Schizosaccharomyces pombe: one gene and its partner. The protein of the gene in region 2 interacts with the protein of the main gene of each other region in a pairwise test. Each region holds a gene or a part of one and is shown on either strand. Other genes may lie near its edges. The genes, in order: moc3 and dri1.

Region 1 (4,876 bases), 1.0 Mb from region 2:
TGGAAATTTCTATTCCTGCACAGCAATTTCTAACTATAATAGCTGGGAGCCTATAATTAAGTACATTAGGGACCAACACTCTTCCTATCTTCGTCGTGAATTAAATTCACATCGCGAGAAACGTCTACAAGACACAAGAGTACATTGTTGTTTATTCTTTATTCGCCCAACTGGACATTCTTTGCGCCCTATTGATATTGCTGTCCTCAAACGCTTAACAGAAGTCGTAAATGTTGTGCCTGTTATCGCTAAGTCTGATTCATTGACTCTTGAAGAAAGAGCAGCATTTAAGCAGCAAATCCGTGAAGAATTTGTTAAACACGACATCAATTTGTATCCTTATGATTCTGATGACGCCGATGAGGAGGAAATTAATCTAAATGCTGCCGTCCGAAATCTTATTCCTTTTGCCGTGGTCGGTTCCGAAAAAGCCATTATCGTAGATGGAAGGCCTATTCGTGGTCGTCAAAACAGATGGGGGGTTGTCAATGTGGATGATGAAAACCACTGCGAGTTTGTTTTTCTTCGTAACTTTTTGATGCGAACTCATCTTCAAGATTTAATTGAAACGACCTCATACTATCATTACGAGAAATTCCGCTTTAAGCAATTGAGCAGCTTAAAAGAACAGTCTTCCCTCGCAACTAGAATGGGAAGTCCCGCACCTGTGTACCCTTCTGAACCACATCTCCATACAGCCACCGCTCAATAGTCTTCTTCCTAAGGTAATATATAGTATGTTTAGAACAAAGACTAAACCATTTGTATGACTGTCGTACCGTAATTCGTAAATTTCGGCTCTTTTTACACTATGCGAATCTTACAAATGAAGTGTTTATCTTATTAACGAGAGATTATATGTTTGATGCGTGATTTTGTCTAGCTATTATACAGTTCTATATCAATATTTATTGAAAAGCATCAAAATGATTTTAAAATTAAAGTACTGGTCGATTTAAGACATTGCAATCCATAAAATGTTCTAGCATCAATCTTCCGAAATGAGATTCGATTTGTGCCCGAAGTTTAAATTCTTTAGAGTTTGATGCAAAAACATTTTGTAGAGATAATACGCATAAATAGGAAGTGCGTAATACTGCAATATCTGTGCATTCTTCTTGCATTAATTGCTGTAAGCCAGAAAGAACGTCATTATTGTTTTTGGTAACGGCATGTCCTACACAATCTATAACTTTAGTAAGAGGACTTCTTGATGCTGAATACAAGTGCACATGATATTCATCTCGCCAAGCAACCATTCGTTCTCGATGCAAATCATCAGACAAGGTTGGTTGAGAGAGAATGTCCAATCCAATAGTAAACAAAGAATCCGAAACAGGTGCATGACTTCGAGAAACAGAAACTTCCGATAAAGGCTTTCCATTAAACCCCCAGATACACCCACGAGGAAGAATTGCAAAAACTAGTTCACGAACGACCATAGCAATCAATAAGCTGACATAATTTGATTTGGTAGACGAAGACCAACTTAACTTTCTAATAAAATTATTACAAAAATTGAGATCATAGGCTGGGAGATTGAGCTGAGTGAGAGTCAAAAATGCAGAAACCAACAGGTATTCAAAAGAATTGGGACCAGGCATTGGACAGCGAAGAGCTCTGGTCAAATGACTGTAAGCACCAAAAACGTCGAGCTTCTTAATAGACGCAAAAGCCATTAAAGAATTAGCAATACAAGGCATCGATTGAGCAAACTGGGGAACAGTGACTGACCAAAAATGCAAGGCTATGTTATTATCAAATTCAAATGCACAAATAGAAGGTACGACATCGTGAAAATAAAACGGAAACAGTTCGGAATTAAAGTTTGAAGGGAAATTGGAAACTGATGAAAGAAAAGGGTAAGAGGCCTGACCCACCGATTGTACAGAGGGTTTTGTAGACGAAGTAGCGCTAGAAGAATTATTTGTAGGAACGTTATGATTGGATTGAAGGTATTGATGCTGTTGATAAGCACTTGGAAATCCTTGTAAATTCATAGGTTTTTGATGATCCTGTTTGATTGGGGTAACGGTGGATAAATTGGAGGAGGAGGTCATCTGATTAAGATCATTTGTATTAAAATTGGATTGTGAAGAGCCGGAAAAAGTGTCTCCGGTTTGAGCGCTACTTGAAGCAATTGAAGTAGGTATCAATGGCTGTTGAGCAGAATGAACGCTTAGCTCAGGAGGCGATACACTCCCCATGGCTTGCATTTGAGCAGCTGAATTTGGATAACCTTCACATTCCCTATTTGTCTTTGTGCAGTTCAAACAAAAAGGTTTGGTTTCGTCGCACTTGATCCTGCGACGGCGACATGTTAAACATCCAGTTTTCGTTCTTCTTTTTGTGGGCTTGGGCGTAGGCTCGACGTTTGGGTTGGGAATATATAGCGGATTTGAATTAATACTACCCGTTCTATTCCGTTTCATATGAATTTCGGGATAAGAAACATACGGGTTCATAACTGCAAGGGAAACAATAGATAGAAAAAAAAAGAATAACAAGATAATAGGAACTAAACAAATCAAAAGTAAAGAAAGCCCGATTTGAAAACGCTACGCTGCTTGAGAAAAGCGCGCAAAGAAAAAACGCAAGCACAGAACATGAAATTGGAAGCCGATTTATACAAAATTTAAGCTCCAATTTAACAAGGAAACTAAGCACCTTTTTCGTAAAGGCCAAGAAACTCTTTGTAGTCTTTTTTTTAAAAAAGGTAGCGTTACTAACTCTATAATTATATATATATGAATACAATAAATTATTTCAGAATAACCGGACGGCCAAACTGTTCGTAATAACAAAAGAAAAAGCCCTAAAAAAACAAAAGAAGGTGAAAATCAATGGTCGTCTAGCAATTTGCTAGCAACTCTTGCACAATCAATAGGTTTATAGGAAGTGACTTGAAAACAAAACTAGCAAAAGCGACAAGCTCACCCAATTTACAAATGCAAATTTGGGTGAATAAAGGACTTAGAAAAAATGTTGGAACAACTTTCAAGTAGGAACCTCGACATTAGCGAGTGATAAGGCGGCAAATTTGATAAGCCCAAAGGCAACAACAATACTAAGAGCTTTTTATTTAGACGTTAGTAAAGTAGCTTGCTTGATACGCATTAGTACAAAAATCCAAAGAATTGAGAAAATCACGAGCCAAGCAAAAACAGTATAAGAACGATTAACTTGTTTAACCTCTAATGTTCTTTTAAAAATAAAAAAAAAACACAGATGTTTCGTTAATTTTTTGATACTTAGATTATGCCCTCATGTGTTTCATAAATAGCATTCCTTGCTTTTCGTTTTTTTCTGTTTTTTTTCTTTTTCTTTCAGACAATTTATAAAAAAAATTCTTTGCATGTACCTAAATATAGTTTGCATTCTCATTTAGGTTGATCAAGTTGGTTAATAACCACGTGGCTTCGAATATCTGTCATGTTCAGGAGCCACATGTCTCTCCATTGTTACAGCGATTTGGTTGATCTTTACATGGCTTACGCATACGAAGATGCTTCCTGCATTTTTTTTTTATTTCAAATCGTTCATTCACTCTGCACTAGCGAAAATCTTCATTCATATGCAAACTTGTCACTCTTTTATATTAACAAAATATAAACTTAAGCTTGAATACAACTGTTAGCTTTGAACGCTACACCTACCCTAGTACCCTAGTAGCTTGATAACCATAGCGAAGATCCGTGGCCTATTGTCGATCTCTGGGAAACTGTCACTGGATCAAAAGCATCATGTTTCTTCGCTCGGTAAGAAAACTATACTCCAGATTTATGAGAAAGGCACAAAAAGCATCAAAACCTATGCCAATGCAAGTCTCACAAAACCAAATTATCCACCCCTAAAGGTGGAATTGTTCGTTGTTCGTGATGCGATTATTGCTTTATCAGGATGATTGTACTTAATCTCAATCAGATCACCCCAAGGTTAGTCGGCTTTGTCAAAGGTCTTACCTTTTATTGAAATCCATATCCTCCTGTAACAATAGGGGATTCACTATTCATACCTAGTTCACCCATTTTTCTCATTTCACTTCTTAAAGCAAATAACGTATAATAACAGTATTTGTTTACTGATGAGATTAACATTACCCGATGAAGAAAACCAACTATGGTACAGCAATAGGTAGTTAAGAAAATACATGAGATCGTAAATACCAAATGTTTGCCAATTATGAGCGTGAATTAGCATTAGTTTTTTTTTTTCTTAATTCATCTGTGTTTCAATAATACGAATTAGATTGATAAGTTTTTTTTTTTTTTTTTTTTTTTTATAACTACCTAGTACTCTTCCATGATGCGAACATTATAACAACAATGAGACCAAAATATCTTTAGCGATTGGAACAACAAGGTCACATTTCGGAAAAATGATTTGCCAGGCTGAAGATTTATATTAACCAACTTGTTCTCATTAAAAGCCAAACTATTGAATTTACAAATTTGTTATACGAGCATCAATCCTATTATAATAAAATCGACTCAAGTTGAATTGTAGCACATATTATTTATTCACGAGTCATTAAAATATTAGTTTAAACGTGTCAATTATCTTCCCATTAGCGCCAAATCCAAATAAATAAATAGTGAGTAACTGATGCAACATAGTGATTCGACGAGCTAAACGTTGAAATCTAAAAGAAACTGGTGTTGTTCAACGGATTGTTATGCTGCTGGACGGGGTTTTGGTAATTGGAATGGGCCTTTTAACGTGGTCCCCATCATAAACTCGCCAAAATTTCAGATTCTCATCACTGGCTGCAGTTGAAAGAATTCTTCCATCAGGCGATAAAGCTGAATACAAAACTCGGGTATCATGTGCAGGAATATCAACTTGTTTGGTTAATCCGCTGCTACTATAAGACCAT
Region 2 (4,854 bases):
AATCCAGTAAAGCATCAAGTTTGCAGAATTTCCACTAAATTGAGTAACCTGATTCATAATGTCAGAAAATATATAAGCTGCTTTAAGAATTTGCTTGGTATGCTTTAAACTTTCGATAGAATTGTTTTTTCCAACGATATTGATGATCAATGAAATTGATTTTTGCAATCATCCCCTGGTTATGCTAATGGCATTCTAAAAGAGATAAACACCCAAATGCGTTGAAGGAAAAGATACGTACAATCGTCAAAAATTTCCGGAATGTTCAACAAGTATTTAACTAATCATGAGTGTGTGTTGAATCTTATCTCATGTTTTTTGTTGAACTATCTACATGGATTATATTTAATTAGGGTATGGATTAAAGAAGCAGAAAGGTCGTCAACATTCGAGTACAGTATATAGCCACACTGGTGTGGATTTGTATATATTGAGAATAACCCTTTAAGAATAAAAAGAAAAAATAGAAAAGCATCAACTAACTGTTTTTAAATGCTACATATGCGAATTTAATTCTCTCTAATAATGCCATGTATTACAAGTAACCTCATGTATCGATTGATTTAATCATTATCGTTACAAAATTTTTATAAATTATATAATAAAAAAAAGGAATATTAACAATACATTATTTACCGAAGAACCCTATAAATTTGAACAGCACTGACAACTGTAAGAGGTAAACAACCATTTTTTCAAACGTTCAATGAGTGTGACACTCCAAAACAAATGAATCCCCAAATCCCAAATATGGGAGAGCTCTATACGATTGACTGCTGTTTTTTCCCCGAAAATTTCTTCAAGGTCAAAAATTAAATAGCACTAAATAGAAGAAAAAAACCCACCAAAGAAAATTATGAACTAATTTTGACCACACCTGTAATTCAATGTTTATGCAAAACCTTCATAAGAAAACCCAATACAACTTTTAAATTTTTGTTCCAATAGAGTTGCTTTTCAAAATGCTGCCTTTAAATAATAACAATTGTTTCATCAAATTTGCTCCTTCAAGACATAAGTGATTATTTTTATCGCACTAATCACTTGCATTTTTAGCTATAGTGTTTACCAAATATCCTTTGTACTACGGGACCTATCCATTAAATATAATTGTCCAACTTTACACGTAAGCATTGAAATCCGAAGGCAAGGATGCAGGAATCTGCATATTAGAGTAATGCGGAGCATTGCAACGGAGACAATTACTGCGGCGACGAAAATTAGTAAATCCACACTCACATAACCAATCGCCTTGATCAGTAGTAACGGAAGGACGTGATACTTCTTTAAAGCGTCCATGATCATCGAACCTAGATACATTACCACCATTTTGTCCCCCAAAATTTTGACCATGATTAGCCGTTACTGAATTTATAGAAAGTTGTGAGTAAGGATACACCGAATGATTAGGAGGACTTGTACTCATAACAGGGGGGATGTGAGAATATGAATTATGACTATACGAACCATTCACCGGCCCAGATGCATGATCTGCTACGACTGCAGCTGTAGCACGGCTAGCCCCACAGCGTAAGCAGCAAACATTTTTTGCGAAATTGTGATATCCACAACCCTCAGAGCCACATTTCCAATCACCAGCACGAAAAGGGACATTACCACCGAATGAGCGTGAAGAATGATGATGATTTACAGCATTATTGCCATTCTGATGCTGAAGATCACTTTGCATGGTATTTTCGTTAGAATGATGGACAGATCCACCATAGTTGGCAATAAAGTGAGAGGAGCCGTTGCCGTATGAATTTCCATAAGGGAAATCAGGTGAAAAAGTATTGCTACCAGTAGCAGCTGAAACATGAGTAGGACCAGGAAATGAGCATCGGAAACAAGACGTTCGACGTTGAAAATTGCTGAAACCGCACATTGGGCAATTCCAATCCCCAGGGCGTGGGCGATTCTTACTAGAAGGAAAAGGAATTAGAATGTCTGAAGCTTTATCTAAAACCTTTGTACTACTGGGAATAATTTCCAGCATCCGATCTCCTAAGCAATATCCATTAAAGGCAAGAGCATCGGCAGCATCTTCATGACTAGCAAATAGCACAAAACCTGTACCCGTAGATTTGTAAGGTTCGGGAGTCTTTAAAGTCCATAAAGCTACGGGATGAACCCCATGATTAGTAAACCAACTTTCCAACTCGAGCTGTGTTACATCGTTGGTCAAACCTGCAACGTGTACAATTTTTGACCGTTCTGCATAAAAGCTTCGTGCGTCTGCTTGACAGTTAATGGGTTGTGTAAGCACCGAAGGAAGAGAATGACCTCGAGAATCTTTCTCTGCTTTACGAAGCAATAAGGTGGTAGCATTTGCAAGGCGCCAGCATTGAGTAAGACCTTTGGTTATGTAAGGAGCATCTGAAGGTGATAATTCAATTGCTTTTGACTCTGTAATAGGTGGTAAAGAGTCGACATCTAATTTACCAAAAATATGAGAAAGCGTTATTGTGTATGGTGGTACTGCACCCATGCGAATCTGCCACTTGGCGTATTCGCTTGATAAATCAAACAAGCGAGGATGGCGCATGTAGGAAGGTAGCGTAATTCCCTGATCCCGTGCTTCTTTTGGCAATAATACACGAAGCTCTCTTCCATTCATAACAACAAATGTAAAAGGTTTTCCTTGGAAGTTTAATCGTTCTTGGATTGAATTATCCAATGTGAAGATAGCTTCAGTTAAGGAACTAGCAGAACCACAAATTCCATGACGAGAACTATCTTCACGAATACTACACGATTCACAGTGTTGTTTTTCCAAAGTTTTTCCATCTAATATAACCCAGCATATTTCATGAATTTCACATGGCGCCCGGCCAATGCTAATGCCGTGATCGTCAAGATTTGTTTCAAAGTGCAAAACAACCAAGTCGCCTACCGATTCTGGCAGAGGCATTGTTGGACTTGGTAGCTTTGACATGATATTGCAAAGCTACAAACCCGTTGGTGTTTTTCTTTGTCACTCACAAGTACAGTCACAAAAGTAACAAATCTAGATTTAGAATCCACCTAAGCGGAATTATTCAAAGGAGAAAAATCTTTTATGAACAATAATATGTACAACTGATGTTACTGTCGAATCGTGTATTGTTGTGGGATTCTTTTGCATGCAAAGCAGAAAATTTAGCAATACTTTCGAAACACAATGAAAATGAAAATTTTACGATAAATTATTATACCATAATTTAGCGCATCAAGCATTTGGTATTCTTATGTCAGCAATACTACACTACGTTGAGTATCACTATATGTCACATGTTCTAATTATATATCGTACCATGTATAATACGATATGGAGATTGATCTTAATGATAATCTATTAAGATCAATATTATCTGAATACTATAAATAGAGCTACTGCTGAACCTCGTTCCTCAGTTCAGTTATGAGCTATATTAGTGATAGTTAACATTATAACCCAGTTAATACAATACCTATACTCAGTTGCTACTTATACAACCTGTGTATTGTAATATAATAGATCACAAGGAAAACTCACCGCAGTTCTACGTATCCTTAAATCAGATACCAAACTGCGTAGCTTACATCTTATGAACAATACCGGGGTTTTTTGTAACCACGTAAACAATCAAAGAACTGTTGTTTATTTTGACAATTGTATCAGGAAGTCAAGGGAAAAGTTATACTGAAAAGCCATCCATTGAAAAGTATTTGTACATCTTGCTACATAAAAAAGCTGATAGTAATTTACTTACACAACTGATAATTTACTAAATTACCGTCATTTCAATTAGAGTTGGTGTAATGTAGCAAAACATAAATTTATCAGCAATAACTCTACAATCGATAAAATGCGACCAAGTTATAGCTTAAAATTGATACAACGAATTTTATACGGACAAATAAAGGGTTAAAATTTACGTTAAGGATTTATTAAATGCCTTCCGTACAACCTAAATGAAGACTAAGAGTAATATAACGCAACGTTAATCAGCTTAGCGATTCTAAATGTGCTCTTTATTATTTGATGTGAACTGCAATAGTAAAAATCTTTGTCACCGTTAGCCTAATCGTAGATTGTATTAATCAAAGTAGCACAAAGCAAATTTTTCAAAACCTTTGAAAAATATTCAAATTCAGCTTTGTGTAGAATACACACTAGACTACAACGATGGCAGGAATAGAATCAAAGCAAAGAAGAGCTCAGAAAAAGGCAGCTAAAGCTGCTATGAAGGAAAAGAAAAACAAGGAAAGCAATGAATCTTCTACTTCTGTTGAGGCATTAAATGAGAAAGAAATGATCAATACCATTAAATCTCCTATTATTGAAACAGCTGATACAGCTGATCAAGAGAACGAATCTGAGGGATCAGATGAAGTTGAACTTTCTGATCTTGAAGGAATTGAGTTGGAAGAAGACGCTGATTTGATTAGAAAAAGAAAATTAGCTATAAATAACACTGTTGCACTAGAGAACATCTATGAACGAATTAAATATCCTGATGATATTTCGTTTGTTGAAAACCAAGCTGTTACTACTAAGGAGCCTATAATAATTGAAAATGTTGAGGATGATCTTGCCCGTGAACTGGCCTTTTATAAACAAGGTGTGAGCTCTGTAAAGGCGGCTTTTGCCAAACTTCGTGAGGCGAATGTTCTAATTTCCCGACCTCATGACTATTTTGCGGAAATGTTAAAGTCCGATGACCACATGGAGAAAGTGCGTCAAGAGTTGATTAAAGAAGCAACCGCTAAAAAACTATCCCAGCAAGCTAAGAAACAACGAGAACTCAAGAAGTTTGGTAAACAAGTTCAGCTTGCTAAACAAGAAGAGCGTCAACGGGAAAAAAAGGAAACCCTCGAAAAAATTAACCTTCT

The links.
Region 1: the proteins of dri1 (region 2) and moc3 interact in a two-hybrid assay, tested with the Schizosaccharomyces pombe proteins (2 studies listed by BioGRID).

Annotation. Positions count from the first base shown.
Region 1 is NC_003424.3:990,814-995,689, forward strand, and holds moc3 (DNA-binding transcription factor Moc3), read right to left. Parts: upstream 2,976-4,876; 5' UTR 2,466-2,975; coding exon 939-2,465; 3' UTR 819-938; downstream 1-818. Other genes in the region: mitotic and meiotic (sporulation) septin Spn2, read left to right, coding at 43-712; ubiquitin ligase Slp1, read right to left, coding at 4,663-4,876. UniProt on the Schizosaccharomyces pombe protein: Induces sexual development and ascus formation. Also involved in calcium homeostasis.
Region 2 is NC_003424.3:2,008,785-2,013,638, forward strand, and holds dri1 (RNA-binding protein involved in heterochromatin assembly Dri1), read right to left. Parts: upstream 2,922-4,854; 5' UTR 2,912-2,921; coding exon 1,121-2,911; 3' UTR 561-1,120; downstream 1-560. Other genes in the region: rdl1 (RAD51D-like protein 1), read right to left, coding at 1-57; rRNA processing protein Ebp2, read left to right, coding at 4,148-4,854. UniProt on the Schizosaccharomyces pombe protein: Mediates heterochromatin assembly by promoting RNAi-mediated heterochromatin silencing and histone deacetylation. Binds pericetromeric transcripts and recruits the RNA-induced transcriptional silencing (RITS) complex to heterochromatin.